Nothobranchius furzeri: one gene and its partners. The protein of the gene in region 1 interacts with the protein of each later gene in a pairwise test. Links are inferred from orthologs where the notes say so. Each region holds a gene or a part of one and is shown in the gene's direction. Other genes may lie near its edges.

Evidence for each region.
Region 2: the proteins of creb3l1 (region 1) and fam3c interact in binary tests that used the Homo sapiens proteins (3 or more experiments, as listed by UniProt). The two-hybrid records come from large-scale screens. The link is inferred for Nothobranchius furzeri from reciprocal best matches to the Homo sapiens genes CREB3L1 and FAM3C.
Region 3: the proteins of creb3l1 (region 1) and tspo interact in binary tests that used the Homo sapiens proteins (3 or more experiments, as listed by UniProt). The two-hybrid records come from large-scale screens. The link is inferred for Nothobranchius furzeri from reciprocal best matches to the Homo sapiens genes CREB3L1 and TSPO.
Region 4: the proteins of creb3l1 (region 1) and tmem11 interact in binary tests that used the Homo sapiens proteins (3 or more experiments, as listed by UniProt). The two-hybrid records come from large-scale screens. The link is inferred for Nothobranchius furzeri from reciprocal best matches to the Homo sapiens genes CREB3L1 and TMEM11.

Annotation. Positions count from the first base shown.
Region 1 is NC_091754.1:48,088,318-48,092,482, reverse strand, and holds the start of creb3l1 (cyclic AMP-responsive element-binding protein 3-like protein 1), read left to right. Parts: upstream 1-1,311; 5' UTR 1,312-1,516; coding exon 1,517-1,627; intron 1,628-4,165.
Region 2 is NC_091741.1:44,500,939-44,505,314, reverse strand, and holds the start of fam3c (protein FAM3C), read left to right. Parts: upstream 1-1,538; 5' UTR 1,539-1,680; intron 1,681-2,110; 5' UTR 2,111-2,154; coding exon 2,155-2,170; intron 2,171-2,255; coding exon 2,256-2,357; intron 2,358-2,955; coding exon 2,956-2,982; intron 2,983-4,219; coding exon 4,220-4,343; intron 4,344-4,376. Other genes in the region: sortilin, read left to right, coding at 20-137, 216-230. UniProt on the Homo sapiens protein: May be involved in retinal laminar formation. Promotes epithelial to mesenchymal transition.
Region 3 is NC_091743.1:66,946,735-66,950,947, reverse strand, and holds tspo (translocator protein), read left to right. Parts: upstream 1-1,375; 5' UTR 1,376-1,575; intron 1,576-2,715; 5' UTR 2,716-2,718; coding exon 2,719-2,891; intron 2,892-2,967; coding exon 2,968-3,106; intron 3,107-3,212; coding exon 3,213-3,386; 3' UTR 3,387-4,070; downstream 4,071-4,213. UniProt on the Homo sapiens protein: Can bind protoporphyrin IX and may play a role in the transport of porphyrins and heme. Promotes the transport of cholesterol across mitochondrial membranes and may play a role in lipid metabolism, but its precise physiological role is controversial.
Region 4 is NC_091752.1:51,142,678-51,146,760, reverse strand, and holds tmem11 (transmembrane protein 11, mitochondrial), read left to right. Parts: upstream 1-1,245; 5' UTR 1,246-1,258; coding exon 1,259-1,392; intron 1,393-3,138; coding exon 3,139-3,655; 3' UTR 3,656-3,809; downstream 3,810-4,083. UniProt on the Homo sapiens protein: Plays a role in mitochondrial morphogenesis.

The DNA of each region.
Region 1 (4,165 bases):
ATTCAACCAAAGCAGGACGAGGAATAAAGAGTCACTGTGATGAGCAGAAAACATACCTACTTTATTTATAACGTACTTTCAATCATATTTATTTAAAATAATATAAATAATAATAATGATTGAAAGTAGAAGTAAAATTAGTGATAAGAGCTGATCCTGATGTAAAAACATCAATAGCACTTGTTTATCCAAACTGCAAGCAAATATGCATAATTAACTTTTAGTTACTTTTTAAATGACTTGAAACATAATCTTTGGTTTATTGGATTATTCATTGAGACATATTAAATTTAAAAATGACTAATTGGTGTGATAAAATTTTAAGTAATGAGTTTATGTTTGGAAATACTACTTTTAACGAGTTTTAAAAAGCGTTTTTGTGTTTTAAGGAAGAACAGGTACGATACGGGCTAATTATTTTAGCCAATGGCGCTCCCAAGGGGTGGCCATGGCCACTAGATAATTGTTGCCCCTCCCAGAAAAAGCCAGTGTTAATAAATCATATTAGTGTTCACTCAAACCATAAATTGATCTTATTTATTCAAGACACATTTGAAAAACAAAATAAAAATAATATAATTAATGAGTAAAGAAACAATCAGAATAAAAAAATACACATGTTTCTGCTGCTCACTGTTTACATTTTTTTTATCTCCATAGTTTTTTGTGAACACAGCAACAGGTGAATTAAAATAAAAAAGAAATTTTAAAATAAAATTTGAACTAACATTTTAAATAACTGAAATGTAAGTATTTATAAAATTGTTGTTAAATGTTTTGGATACGTACTGTTTTCAACAAATAATAAAAATGAATAAAGGAGAAATGCAATACATCACCGCCTCTCCCAGAGGACCAGTGTGGTGTGCCACCCCAAAAAATTATTTGGCCCTGTCTGCAGTATATATGTCGATGGTGGCCACTCCATCTAAATTTTCTGGAGGCGCCCCTGACTTTAGCTACTCCAGGTGCTGCTAACAATTATCTTTTTCATTCTAATCCAACAAAACATGGCCATTTGAAAAAAGTATTTAAGTAAAAACTATAATAACTTATCTGATATGTCTGTGGTAAAAATACACAGGTGAAAAGTTTCACATTTTCCAGTTATTTTCCAGTTATCAAACGTTTATCAATGAATCTAAATTATATCAAAGTGTTTTTGCGTTCTTGTTCAAATATTTTCTTGGAAAACGTTTGGATTTAATTTCGTTGTGATAAAAAAAACTTCGTATAATTCTGGGGGCGTGGCGCGTGTTTACCGGGGTGGGCGGGGTTTGGTTGAATATTCATCGGCGCGTGGCTGACAGCACTCGCGAAAGAGGAGGAGAGAGCAGAAGAACATCAGCGGCTCCACCACAGCAAGCCGGGTGGAGAAGGATGTGTAATTCAGAAGAAATCTGACGTTACGTCGCTTCCGCTTCACTTTTCCAGGAGGAGCGCTTGAAAACAAACCTTCTCGTTTTTTAATGAGTTGATTTTGAAGTGTCGCGCGACCAGGGAGCTACTGTCCATCATGATGGAGTCTCTCCTAGACAGTTTTGTGGTGGACAAACTCTATCCCCACGCAGGGACCAACCTGTTGGACCTGGAGGAGCTGAGCGACGGTGATTTCCTCACGAACGTGGTGAGTTCAAGTCTCTTTAGCGTCTCCCTGCTGGAACCCAAACGCACCCCGCGGTGTTTGTTCCGCCCGCAGCCGGACCTCGGGAGGGTGGTGGATTTATGAGATCCTGACACACATCCGGGGCTCATTTACCGTGTGTGTGTGTGTGTGTGTGTGTGTGTGTGTGTGTGTGTGTGTGTGTGTGTGTGAATTGCGCGCGCGTGTGTGTGTGTGCGTGCGTGCGTGCGTGCGTGCGTGTGTGTGTGTGACTACTAGAGGAAACTGGAAACATGCTGGCTGGTTACTGGTTAACTTGTTTCGACTAGCAGGTGTTGCATTATTCAGGTACTTGATCAGGTTTATTGCCTCAGCCTCCTAGCAAGGCATCTTTCACAATGAAATAACTCACCACATTGATTTTAGATGCTGCACGAGATTTTATGAAATGAAATAAAGTCACAGATCCCAGCAGTTTGCATCAACCCAGGCTCCGATCCCCACAGATGGATGTCCTGTCTCCTAGTCAACTGATAATTAGCACATTTTTCACATGAAACTTTTCATTAAAAGTTACTGTTTCACTACAATCACACCTATGACTGCCCCTGAGAAGTGTGACTAATTGCATTTAACCTCCTCATAATCAGTAATGAGTCTGCATGTCTGAGTTTTTAAAGTGGAAACACACTGAGAGGTTAACGGCAGCAGGAATCGTCACTTTTTCTTTTTCCACATTGTGTTAACCCATCTTTTTTTGGGTTGACTTCTATTCTAGTCCGTGAGTCAGGCGTGCAGTCTGCTTGTGGTTTAAACTCTTTAAACTCCTCTGTCTGCTCTAAATAGGGAGTCCACTAGGCTGGGCTGTCCTACTGAGGAAACAGGGAAAGAATGGATCAGTATGGCACACTTTAGTTCAGTGAATGAACCAAGTTTTAATACAAATGTGTGCAAAAGATGCTGTTAGGCAACAGAAAGATGGTCCTGAAAACCAGTGACTGATTCCTAAGATATTTTTCCTCCAGTGTCTTTGTTTGCTAGCAACCTGTTCTTGGCTAATTTGAGTCAGACTCCCAAGAAAGTAATCATCAGCAACTGGGCTAACTTTTAGAGTCACTCCAAGTCAAGATGGCTGCTAAAGGTAAAACCAAGGGCGGCCAACTCAGACGTGACAGAAATTGCAGTTCCCCTCTCATCCGCTAGGGGCTAGCACCAGAAAGAGGAAGTTAAAAATGCCAACTTCACAGCAAGGGTAAACTAGCATAGAAGCTAGACTGTCTTTTGCCAAAGAAAGTAGACGGTCTAGCTGTCTAGACCCTTGTAATGACCCTTATTGTGACTTCACACAAAAGAACATTTGCGTTGAATCCCCCTCACCTGTTTACACTGGAGGAGTGGTGGCTCTACTCGAAGCCCCTCCCTTATATATGAATTGCTCACCCCACAGCAGCCAATCAGGTAATGTTGGGCGGGGCCAGCAACAGCTTATTTACATTAAGGTGGCAGAACCCTGAAATGGCTAATTCTGGACGTTACCCAGCCAACTGTAAACGATAAAACTGCTAATCGCTTTATGAGAGAGACTTTATGTAAAGAACTTCATATATAACCATAACTTAATATAAGTTATAATACTTCCCCTTAAATTTCTCATTCACTTGTTTGCTGTGGTCGTCTCTGTGGAATAAACGCTCTCGAGCTTCTGTACCAGGGGTTAGAGGTTAGTCTGAGGATGTTACTCATTCATATTCATGATATGCAAAAATCTTGCCTTTAATTGGCTAAATCAACTCGTCTGCTGCCTTTGTTCACTTTTTTTTTTTTTTTGTAAAAGTGGAACATTGATGTTTTATCTCAGCTAATGACACAAGCCTGTGTCCCGCCATGCTAACAGCTTTTATTTTCATTTGTTAAGCGTTTTATGTGTTGGGAGAGTTGTACAGGACCATCATGCAAAGACTGTGATAGTGGTTTGTGTTGATTCAACTGTGCGTTTACTGTAGATTATTATAGGTGTTTACAGGTTTTCCAGTTCACCTAGGTCCTTTCTTTACTTTAAAGCTTTTATAACAAATCTGCAAACAAGCTAGGTTTTAAACACAAACATGGTCACGGTACACTCACCCACGCCCTCGGGTATCTTCTCTGGATCCGCCACAACTGTAAACGAACACCCGCATAGCCAGAAGAAACGAGATAGCGCTAAACACCAGTCGCTGTTTTCAAGGTCCAAACGTCTTTTGTTGTCCGTGACTTCAAATGGTGATTTTCTTTTTGGGACTCCGATAGTTTGTCCTGAAGCTCAGTGGTAGCAGCCGGCTCTTTCTCCTCAGATGTTATTGAGCAGAGAACCTCTCACACCAGTGGTGTTCTGCTGCTGAATACGTGAGTGTGTGATGAGTGGAGGACCCAGGAAAGTGTGGCGGTTCGGTAACACCGACAACCGGATGGTCCAATAGTTGCGTTTGGTCCAAAACGTGTTATTGGTAGACGTTTTTAGACAATTGCAAGAAAGCCATCCATCCATCCATCCATCCATCCATCCATTGTTTTCGGCCGCCT
Region 2 (4,376 bases), on another chromosome or scaffold:
ATGTTTTTGTTTTTCACAGGGCACCAATATATCGTTTCTCTAATCTTCGCCTCCAAGAAGACAATAACGGGGGTGCAGCTGATGTTGAAAGTGCCACCAGCAGTAATGGAACAGCCTGCCAACCAGATTCAGATGATGTAAGAGCCATTTATGACCAACTTAGGACTTCTGCTCTTTATTTTGTGGATTTATTTTTACATGATTTTTTTCCCCAGGATCTTCTTCACTGACAAAGAGACGACGGCACAAAAATAGAGACTTCTGTGAATATGAATGTAAAGAATGTAAAAATAACTACTGCTAATTTATTAAACTCAGCCTTTTTTTTTCTTTTTTTCCCTTCTTTCTCAGTTTGCCTTGACTTCTGTTGTGACTTGTACGGCATTTTTAATGTTATTTATTTGTATTGATTGTTTTGCACCAGGTATGTTTCTTTCTTTTTTAAGAAAACCTGAAATAATCCTGTACAAAATTCTTTTAAATCATCTGACTGATTTGTTGCTGTTTAGAGTAGTAGCCCAAAAATATGAATAAGCATTTTTAGTCAAGTCTGGTGTGTATTTAGCATTGGAAAAAAAAGAACTATAAACAGTAAAGTATGTTCATTTACAAAGCCATATTTTTTAAATTTCTATTTAATAATTAATTTGCATAATTATCATTATAGATAGTATCGTCTTAATATACATGACAGAATACATTTGAGTCAATAGATCCATCCAGTTTATTCCCTGAGCAGTGTCTTGTTCTCCGCAAGAGGGCAGTCGCAACGCGTCTCATCTGTCTCAACCATAGACTGTACATGGTCTCAACCAGAAGAAGAAGGGCTGCGTCTACGTGAACAGAGATTTTCTATAAGAGATGACTCACGCGCACAAAATCTTCCAGCGAGATGAAGTTAGATGTCTGCTCCATGGGCCACTTATAGCAATATGATTTTTTTAATGTAATTATTTTGTCATCGATATATATTTATTTTCGAATTCGCATATTTATTTGTTTTTTTGTGGAAACGAACACTTTTGCCTAGCCATTAAAAAAATTTACGTTTCCGTGAGGGGTTTTAATAATAAAATTTTCATTTGTCAAAAGTCTAATAATATTATCGTTGACATTCAGGAACCTTTCCTGAAATGACCAGATGAAACAACGTTTGCCGTTATTTGTTCATTTATTTATTATCTGTATATTTGGTGTTTCAAACTGTGTCAAATAAATACAAAAATGTAATTTGTGTGTGTGTGCGTGTGTGTGTTTTATTTGTCCTACAGTTTTTGCTCTAAAAAAGTTAAACCATTTTTTTGTAGTTGCTATATAGTTAGTATTCAACCCATTTTTTAAAATTTGTTCAAGGTTTCACAAAACAAGGAAATTGCCTCACTAACGCTTTCCCCCGCCGTTCGTTATTTAATTTGTGTTGTTATAATAGACCGGAATTTGTAACAGATAAACTTGTATTCTTTAAATATATTTGTAATTATATGGTGCGTGTTGATTTGCATGACTCCAACACCTAACCTCGTTTTGTTCCGGATTCTGTTCCGCCACCCTCCTTTTATTTCCATACGTAGTGAACCATAAGTCGTTATTTGACATCTCTGAAACTGAGCCGTCAAGACCGGAAAAGCTCAGGTTAACGCTTCCACCGGGGGATCTGTAGTCTCTGTGGTTACCGAGCAGGTAAAAAGCCTTCAAAACAGCGCCTAAAAGCTCATATTCACATTTTGCTGTTACGGTGTTACTATTACAGTTCAAGCACGGGTTAACAGCAGTAATTTGACACAAACTTTGTATCTAGTTTACGACTCGCCAAGTCACTAACTAGAGAGATGCTACACTTGTGCTAGCTTTAGCCGTTTAAAAGTCTAACTTTGGTGTTTCACGTTGTCGCCACTCACTCCTGACCTTTTAAATGGTCTTATTTTAAAAAGTAAGTGTTTTAGAATTCATAAAGTTGGGCATATTTGGGGAAATTTACCTTTATGTTGTAGTTAAGCTAATGCTAACATTCCCCAAATAGTAGCGCTTCCTTGTTCATTAGCGTAGATTTGCGTCAGGTGTGAAAATCAGTTAGAAACAAGACTGAAGTGTTCATGTTCTGCTGTTGAAGGTGGCTGACTAGCTGCGAGGAGAAGTGGCCCGAGGCTTCCCAAGATGGTCAGAGCCGGGGGTAGGAGCATGTCTTCATGTTGTTTATTCATTCACAGCTGGTCAACTCAAATCTTTGTTATAACTGGGCTGTTTTTTTTTTACAGGTGTTTTGAAATTAGCTGCGCTCATATTAGTGTTCCTGCTAGCCGTCTTTATGGCTTTTCAGCTTCTGGAGATCAACGTGGATTTTAAAATTGGCAGCATGGGTGAGTAGCCTACAAGGTGTTAGTCATTACTAAAGGCAGCACACGGAAGTGGGATGGTAAAAGTGAGGCAATCGTCCCAACAGGCTCGTGATAGCTCTTATCTTTTGTGTCACTCATGCTGTTCATTGCCTCTGTATAATTGTGTTTAGAGAGATGCTATTTACTCAAGAGCCTGGCTTGGTTGACTTATTTTTAAAATTATTCATAAAGTCCTTCATTTATTCTTGTTCTTTTAACTAAATGGGTGAATTTTTAGTGAACACATTTCTTGGAACTGGACACCAGAACCTACTGGTTCTTGGTTATTCTCTTCAGGGCACAATGGGGTGCATATTTCAAATATTTAGCCTTTTCTAGCGCACCTTTTTTTTTTAAAAAAAAAAAATAAGCGTGTCACTAAAGGCTTTTTCACGTCATCGGGTTTGTCAGAGCGTGAAATCCCTTAATTCACTCAGAACATTTCATCTCATGAAAAGGTTCTTGTGCTTGACAGTGAAAAATGCAGCCAGCGTTATTTCGTCTGTCACTGAACTCAGAGCTGTGGCTGATTTAAAAGATTTTCCTACGTTTGTAATACATTTTTTCCCCCCATTTTCAGCTAAATCTTTGCCGGTGGTTACAGGACGTAAGTATCCCTCACATTCCCCTGTCTTTTCACTTTTTTCCTCCTCTACCTGCTTACTTTAAAGTATTTCTACTCCTTTCTTTTGGTTTTTCCTTACCAGTCGACACAAAAGGGTAATGATTTGTTTATTATGTTGTGCTGTCGTAAGAATGCTTTTAAATATGGTAAATGGCCTGTACTTGATATAGCACCTTCTAGAGTCCTGGAGCCCCTCAAGGCACTTTACAACAGTCATTCACCCATTCACACACACATTCACACACTGGTGGGGATGAGCTACAATGTAGCGGCAGGTGTCCTGGGGCGCACTAACAGAGGCGAGGCTGCTGAGCACTGGTGCCACCGTTCCCTCCGACCACCACCAGCAGGCAACGTGGGTTAAGTGTCTTGCCCAAGGACACAACGACAGCGACAGACTGAGCGGGGCTCGGAACCTGCAACCTTCCAATTATGGGGCGAGCACTTAACTCCTGTGCCACCGTCGCCCCGGTAGACATTACTAAGTTAAAACACGGACAGGCATGTGATATTGTAAATCTTCTAATACAGTAATTTACTCAAGCTCATCAAGCTCCAGGCCTTTATTGGAAGGAGGGCCAGAATTGGAGGTAGGACTCAATTTCTATTTGAGCAAAATGAATACCAGTAGAATGAATAAAAACGGGGTGTGTATTTGAACCTATAAAATACTAGGTTCATTTATTGAAAATGTGCAGTTACCATAATGTGGTACGGTTTGCATATAAAACATTAACAAGGCTAAATTACAGTAGGGAAATACTGTATTGTAACAAAACAGTAGAAAACATACCTGTACTGCATTTTAAACGTTATTAAATACCGGTATTAGAAAAGGCAACCTTGCCGCTTCAAAGTTGAATCGTTTCGTCTCGTTTGGGTTGTAGTAAAAAATAAAATAAAACCCTCAAATTCAGTTCCTCTTCGGCTCCGCACCTGCATGGTTAAAGTTACCCTCACGGTCTATCACTGGCAAATCAAAAGTGAGACGGATGACACAACCGCCCCCCCAGTGGTACTTGCTTGTTACCACATCCCATCTGGCCACAATAAAAAAAAAACGGCCGTTATTCACCTCCGCCGACTCCGACACCGGCCAAAATGTGATACCCGACCGTTAATTGAATACAGGCCAATATTAGAGGATTTACGGTATTCTGTGTTTTTGACGTTATGCTTTGATATGTTAATAGAGGTTTTTTTTTTTCTGTGTTTACAGCAACAAAGCCGGCCATTCATAAATGCGGGCTGTCCAAGGCGTGTCCCGCTGGACATTTTGCCTTCAAAGTTACGAGTGGCGCCGCCAGCGTGGTCGGGCCTAGGATGTGCCTGGAAGACAAACTGTATGTGACATTTTACTTGCAGCCTTCTAGAAA
Region 3 (4,213 bases), on another chromosome or scaffold:
GTAAGGAGCGCTGGAGGACCGCGGAGGAAAGGTGTGTCTGCCTGGCAGACACGGAGGAGGGGCGTAAAAACCCTCATGAGCTGGTGCGCCTCTGCCTACAATGAGATTCATTCTTCCTTACATTTACTTTTTTAAATACACGAATGTGCAAAAAAACTGAACCTTTTCCCGAGTTCCTCATGTTTTGCTCCAAGCAGTGTTTAACTTTTATACTAAAATAGAAGACTTTATTTATTTTTTCATTTGAGTTTATGAGTGAACTTTAACTTTGTACTTTTCTAAATCCAATTTTATTTGTCTTTTAAATTTACTTTTTTAATCTACCTTTATGTTTTTTCCTTGCACCTGGAAAGCACACTGAAATGTGTATGAAATGTGCTTTGTTAATAAAGCTGCCTTGCTTTTTAAGGGGTCATGATCATTTTTTCTTCAGGTTTTTTGAAAGTGATGCGGGCGTTGTACCGGATTGTCGTGGTGAAGAGAGAGCTGAGTCAGAAGGCAAAGCTCTCGATTTACCGGTCGATCGACGATCCTACCCTCAACTATGGTCATGAGCTTTGGGTAGTGACCGAAAGAACGAGATAGCGGTTACAAGCGGCCAAAATGAGTTTTCTCCGCAGAGTGGCTGGGCTCTCCGTTAGAGATAGGGTGAGAAGCACAGTCATCTGGGAGGGGCTCGGAGTAGATTCGCTGTTCCTCCACATCGAGAGGAGCCAGTTGAGGTGGCTCGGGCATCTGGTCAGAATGCCTCCTGGACACCTCCCTGGTGGTGGTTAAAAAATGTGTTAAGTAGTATTGCAAACTAATTATTTGCATTTTATCTTCAAGAAAACTTTAAACTGCCACATGCAGAACTGGATGTTAAGAGACAGATCTGCATCATGAAGTGCACTAGTTAAAACATTTCTTTACATTTCTATTGTTAGATTTGTCAAACTTGTGTTCTGACAAAAACTGTTTGAGGTGAAAAAGAGAGAGAAAGATGACCTATTGAGCCTACTTGTGGCTTGTGTTGTATTTGATCTTTAAAGTTAGCATATGAAAAAATCGAGACATATTTTAGCTTTAGTGGAAAACGGTGAAATTAACTCGTATTTACGTTTCAAACGACTTGCACGTGAGAGGCGGGAACTATCTTGAGCTTTGTGTAACCTTTGCTTTATGTCACGTTTCCGGTTGTTGCGAAATTACAAGGAAATTTCAAATGTTTCGACCGAGCAGCAAGCAGTTAGATGGCTAGTTGTATTGTTTGACTGTCGGACTGCTGCAGCGTGTTAATACCCAAAAGTGAGTGAATAATACTCTCAATTCTAACCTCCAAACGCCAGTCAAATTGTCTCTGCGTGACCAATCGATGGTTAGCACTCAGTGACGTCACGTAGTTTGGTTCTGGTTCAGACTGGGAGTGTCGGAGGAATGACCACTCCGATAAGACTGCCCTGCCCTTTAAAAAACTTATATCACCTCATTATCAGCATGCCAGAGAACCACTAAGTGTGTGAAGCTTTCGTTTCTTGAACTAAAGGTTTTAACGACTTTACTTGCGCTACGTGACGCAGACAGCTGAAAGGAAAGGTAAGAATGAAGCTACGTCCACTTGACCTTAGGCACACGCGAACCGAAAGTGTTAAGCTAACCCTTTTTCCGCAAAAAATTGATCTAACTCTTTTCTGTGTAATAAACTACTTTCTTGCGTTTAGTTTCCTCCAATGGCAATACATTTACACGTTAGCTAGCTGTTTTTCGTTCTGCCACAACAAGAACCTGTGACAAAATACCGAACTTTGCGTGGAGAGTTTAAAGTTCCTACAGTTATTTTGCATGTTAACGCCTCTTGGAATACAAACATGTTTACCGTGAAATAAACTCTTAGCAAAATGCGCACGTCTTTTAAATTCATGTTTGCACGTAGTGAGTCTAATAAACAATAGGAATACCTTTTTACCTTAAATAGATATTCTTGATTTTTACGACACAACCTGCAGCCCCGAAATGGATTATGGATTAAAGTAACATTTCATTGTTTAGTTCTTTTCTAATGTAGTTGAAGATTTGTTTTTACCTTTTTTTAGCTGCTAAGTTTCGGCTAACGCTGTAGCACTCGGAGCACATTAAATTAACATCCCTTTAAATGTTATTTGATAAACCAAAAAGATGAATAGGGCGCAGTCCTCAGATTATTTAATCTCGTCAGCAATCACGAGTTTCAAAATAAAAGCATACATAGCTCAAGACTCCTAAATTCAGACATTAAACTCATAAATGTTTAACACAATCTGCCCCAAGATTACCTAATGTATTACTTCATTTTTATTTTTGATATATTTCTGATTCAAAATTGTGTTTGAGAAACTTGGTAAACAATGAAGTAGCATTTTTGCTTTATATCTTCATTTTTTGCCACCAAAAAGGAAACATTTACACTAAAACAGAATTTAAAATGTTCAGAAATTCTCATGTATAATTTTGGGCAACACAAATGCTTTTTTTATCAACAGAGAATTGCTAAAATAAATATTAAAATTTTCAATTAGAAATAGCTTATTTACCTACACACATTTCTCAGAAAAAAAACCCGTTTTATAATGCATTATCTTGGATCTTTTTTTTAATGTCTGCATCTGTAACTCATCTGACAATGTTATTCACCAAAGTTCTTCATGTACAGAGAGATGAGGTTTAGTAGAATGATTAACCAACCTGCTCTCATCTCAGACCATGTGGCTGCCTCTGATTGGGATGACCGCCCTCCCACACATTGGAGGAATCTATGGGGGTTTCATTACACGCAAACAGGTGAAGACGTGGTACACCACCCTGAACAAACCCTCGTGGCGCCCCCCAAACGCAGCCTTTCCGGTGGTGTGGACATGTCTGTACACAGGGATGGGGTAAGAGCCACACGGACAGACTCCGACCACCTTTGTTCCTTAAGCTAATGGATTATTTTTGGACTCTGTCTTCCAGTTATGGTTCCTACCTGATCTGGAAAGAACTTGGAGGTTTCACTGAGGATGCACTGGTTCCACTGGGGCTGTATGGGCTGCAGTTGGCTCTGAACTGGGCATGGACTCCTATTTTCTTTGGAGCGCACAAGATAAAATGGGCAAGTTGAACCTTTTACATTTGATTAAGGATTGAGAAATGCAAAAAAAAAAAAGTTACTTTTGAGTGTTAATTTCCATTAGATGCCCTTTTTCTATTAAATGTAGGCAATGGTCGAGATTGTGTTCCTGACTGGGACTGTTGGAGCCACCATGGTGTCTTGGTATTCTATCAGCCGCACCGCCACTCTGCTCCTGGCCCCTTATCTGTCCTGGCTCTGCCTCGCCACCACCCTCAACTACTGCATATGGAGGGACAACCCTGAGACAAAAGAAGAGTAGTGGACATATCTGTGCTTCAGCTATTAAAACTCTGATTACAGTCAATATTCTGTTTATAAATCCTCGCTCAGAAGCTTTCCTATTTCTAGATTCAGCTGATATCAAAAGATCGGACCTATGATTGTTTGTGTTTTTGTTAGCTAATGCGACACAAGCGACTCAGAAATGACTTGTTTCTGTTGTTTTATTTTTTTTATTGTTAAAGCTAAAGGTGCAATAGGAGGTGGCTTTCTTGCTTTTCGAACAGCTACTTCTTTTGAAAACGTAGAAATCTAAGATCCAACCCTGGTCAGAGCAGCAGTTTGATGTAAGGAATATGAGCTGGTCCTTAAACATAGGACGTTCACAATGATTGACAAAAGATTTGATTTAGTGGTTGGCATCAGTATGTGAAGAGCACTTCAAGCAATATCAATTCAAATTCAAAAATACTTTATTAATCCCAGAGGGAAATTGATATAGCAAAAAACTCCAGAAAAAATCTCCTACCCCACCTTTAGCTACAAATTCACACATTAAATTTGCATAATTAACAGATTAGCGAATAATCATGTTTTGGGCGACATGTTGAAGTGAACATTCTTTTGTATTTGAGCTTTTTTAATGAAAAATCTCCCAGATGTGAATTTATTGTTCTTTTAATTATTATTCACATTTTTCACATTAAAAAAATTGACCACAAAACCTGAAAACATTTATTCTTGATAGGACTGACAGATCTATAATTTAATTCCTGTTTCACTTTTTAAAAAAATCTAGATTTATCAGATGTTTCAGTCATGAAGCAAAGTAATTAAATGTAGCAACTCAAATTTGAGTAAATATCT
Region 4 (4,083 bases), on another chromosome or scaffold:
TATTAGAGACGGGAACAAGCGCTGTTCAGCCAAAGTTTCATAATTTCATAAAAAGAAAATTTTTCCAAGTGAAACATCCCTCAGAGAGACCGGGTTTCCAGACCGCTTCAGTGGGAGGAAATCTTATCGCATGCACCGTGGTTCTGCACTGCGCTGCGAACCCCTCTACAGATCTTCAGCCCACTGTCCACCGCGGGCGCTCCGAGCCTCGCTGAACACAGTGTCCAGTATAAAGCTCTGATGGGAATCAAGTTACCGCTGTGATGTGCGTAACGATTAAAATATCAGCTCATCCATGCGCATCAGTGTGCGTCGGGGTAATTCTTTCAAAACAACTAACATCCTTGAGTTTATCCATCAAAATAAACAGTCAAATGGAAATATTTGTAACCTGCCATTTAACTGTTTACCTTCCTGTGAAGATTGTTGCAAAGAGAAACAACTAAACTTGATTAACCCCAGAGCCACGCGCACTGCGCTGTACTTCCTGGCTGTAAATGAGGGGGAAACAATTTAATTGGATCCTTTTCTTTTCAACATGGTTTAATGTCAGTCGCGTGTCCAGATCCTGTAAAATGGGGTGGCCCAGGTGAGGCACAACTTTGTGCATGGGTGGCACCAAAGGTTATGGTCCCCCCCCCCCCCCCCCCCCCAAGCCTTTTGTGGACAACAAAAATCCTATTTAAAGGTAAATTAGTGTGTTGGCACCTGGGGTGGCCATTCAGATTCCAAGGGTCGCATGTGCTACCCCAGGCCACTCCCTGGACATGCCCCTGTTTAATGTAAAGTTTCATTCAGTACAAACTTTAGTTACACCAATCTAAGAGACAGAGCCCGGATTTGTATTCTGAACAGTTTAAACATGTTTAAAACGGAGACATACGTGACACGTCTAAAGTTCAACTATTATGGAAATTAAACTAACAAGATGAATAACATGAAATTATTTCAGGCACAGAAAACATCCCCCACACTTTTGAAAAGCTTGCAACGCGCCTGGGTTACAATACATAACCAACGTTAGCATGCGCATCAAAGCCTAATGAATTGGCTTCCGAAATGGAGCTGTTAAGGAGCTTGGATTTTTTAAAATATATTTGTAGTTCAATCGTGTTGCATATAATCAATATTTGATACTTTTTTAGTTTTAGGTTAATTAAAGGACCTCAAACTTCTGTGTTCTGTAACAAAATACGTACTACAGATACGCTGCCCTCGTTGCATTATGGGAATAGTGGTCTGAAAACGAGCCTTGTAGATGCGTAGATCGGACTTGCACACAACAATACCCAGGGTTCTTTGCGCTGAGGCTACGTCAACCGAAATCACAGTTGTTTTTTCCAACATGGCGTCGCTGGGAAGGAGGCGCGGTGTCCCAGTAAGCAGGGAGAGGTCAGTTACTCTGCTTTTTTGCCATAAAGCGAAATTATTTTCATAACTGACAAAGTTTAGTCGATGTCACATCCTGTTCTCGAACATGCATCTAATTTATGATTCAAACTCCAGTGCCAACATAAAAAAGGCGTTATTTTACTCCATGGTTAGCTAACATTAGCTGGCGGCTAGCTTCCGTTGTTAGCAGGGAACAAACTTATCTAGTCATGGGTTGTTTTCAATGTTTCAGTCAGACTTAATAACGGTGGAAGAAGCTGCAATGGACGGTGCTTTGGTACCGACACTTCTGTGACATTGCGGGGTTCATAAAATGCCCAAATCAGTCTCTGCTGCGGCTGTGCGCCGTTTTAAGTCGAGCTACTCTGAAAGTAAAAATGGTCCTGAAGTTCGTTGGTCAGTCAGTCCTCCAACTTCAGAATATGTTGTTCCCATCCGCTCTGGTACACTTGTCCCAGACTAAAATACATTGAAATTATTATGTCTGGTATTTGATTATCCTTCACTCTGTATTTTACCATCAGCACGCTGTCATTGGAAGTTGGGATTGTTTGTCCTTAACGCAGCGCTCACTGGAGGACCTCAGTGTAGACCATCATCAGCCTCTCGCGTTTTACCTATCTTATGTCTATGGTTGTAACATAAGGTGAAGAAACAAACAGGTTTGAAAATGGGACCAAACTTGTCAATAAACAACCAACCTGGTAACTTTGTGTGAATGTGTGATGGCAGCGTGTGAAGTTATTTAACTGAATTTCTTCTCTTCACCAACAAATTTTGATACTAAATATTATTGTTTATTTGAGGGGAACGTGTGTAGCTTTATGGCACTTTAAATATTAATTAACGAATTTATGGAAACTACTATGAAAGCAATTGTTCTTACTGCTTAAAATCCTTGAATGCCTGATTTTAATGTGGTATTTTCAAGTAAATAATGTAGTAATTAGTTTCAAAATCATTCAAGCTGTGCCTGAAAATGGTTATAGGATAATATTTACATAAGAGAAATGGTTCAATAACTGATCATATATGTACTGCTGCTCATTAATCGTCCCTAATGTAAGATGTTTAAAGTCCTGAAAAACTTTAGGGAAAGGACTTAAAGTGCTTGAATTTGTTTGGGCAAATATATAAGAACCCTAAAAATGTTTTGCTTCTTTAAAGAACATTTAAACAGCACAAATAAGTGTGGGTTTCCTGTCTTATCAGTTTGGGTGGGATTGTGACGCACACTTTTTTTCTTCTTTTTTCGTGCAAGCAGCCGCAAGACATTGAACCTTTCTCAAAATTCGGGTTAAAATAGATTAAAAGTAGAAGTGGATATGAGCTATTTATTAATATTTCTCCGTTCAATAGTGAGAGATATTTGCTCAACTTTAGTCAAACCACAGACAGGAAATAAGTTAAGTTTGCCAAGTTCATATTTATTTATAACAGGTTAGTAAACACTTATTTTATTATTTACAAAGACAGCACACAAACTGTTCAAAAATATCTCCCAAGAATGGGAATAAACTTAATTTATAATCAAGTAAAAACCTTCATTATGCCTCAATGTTTACATTTTAATAAGAAAGTAAAACTAAACGGGTCATAGGTATTTTAATAAAAAGCAACAGCCACAGAATGATGGTATTGTGGTTAAAACAAAGCAGTTGGTTACAAAAATAATATTGAGTTTTCTTATTAATTTCCTGTCTTGTTGTCTTTTCATTACCAGCCTGTGTATTTGATTGTGTGCAGGGCAGTGATGGCTGCGTCAGACTGCTACATTGTACATGAGATCTACAATGGGGAGAATGCGCAGGACCAGTTTGAGTACGAGCTGGAGCAGGCACTGGAGGCCCAGTATAAATATATTGTTATTGAGCCCACACGGATCGGGGATGAGACGGCCCGCTGGATTACGGTGGGGAACTGCCTGCACAAGACGGCTGTGTTGTCAGGCGCTGCATGCCTCCTGACGCCACTTTCGCTGCCTGCAGAATACTCGCGCTATGTAGCATTGCCAGCTGGTGCCCTCAGTGTGGCCTGTGCTGCGCTCTATGGGATTTCATGGCAGTTTGATCCCTGCTGCAAGTACCAAGTGGAATACAACAGCCAAAAACTCTCACGGCTGCCCCTGCATACACTGACCTCCTCAACACCCGTGGTTTTGGTACGCAGGGATGACGTCCACAGAAAGAGACTCCATAATACGATAGCACTGGCTGCTCTGGCGTATTGCGCCAAGAAGATCTATGAACTCTATGTGGTATGAGTGCACTCTGAAGATTTAAGAACCATCAAAAAAAAAAGCAAAAAAAAAAAATTAACAAAACAACATACTCACCCCCGGATGTTAGAAAAGTGGAAGTCCCGTTCAGGCTCAGCAGTTAGCTCTACAGAGGGTGGGTGCTTCCACTTGGAACATTGATCAGAGGGATATAGCTAAAACTAGAAGGGATTTTTTTCCATGTACTTCTATGTGACAGCAGCACACCTATTGCCATAGTACTTTCGCGCCAGCCCCCTTACCCCCTCCACCCGCTTCTCTGTCACACAAGCTTGTGCAAAAGGACATGACCTCAGTTCCTCTGAAAGGAATGGTTTTGGATTAAAAATGGAACAGACACATTTGTTGTACAATGCTCTTTCCCCTTTCCCTTGTAGTTTTGCTGTACCCGTTTTTTGCTGATCAAGTACATT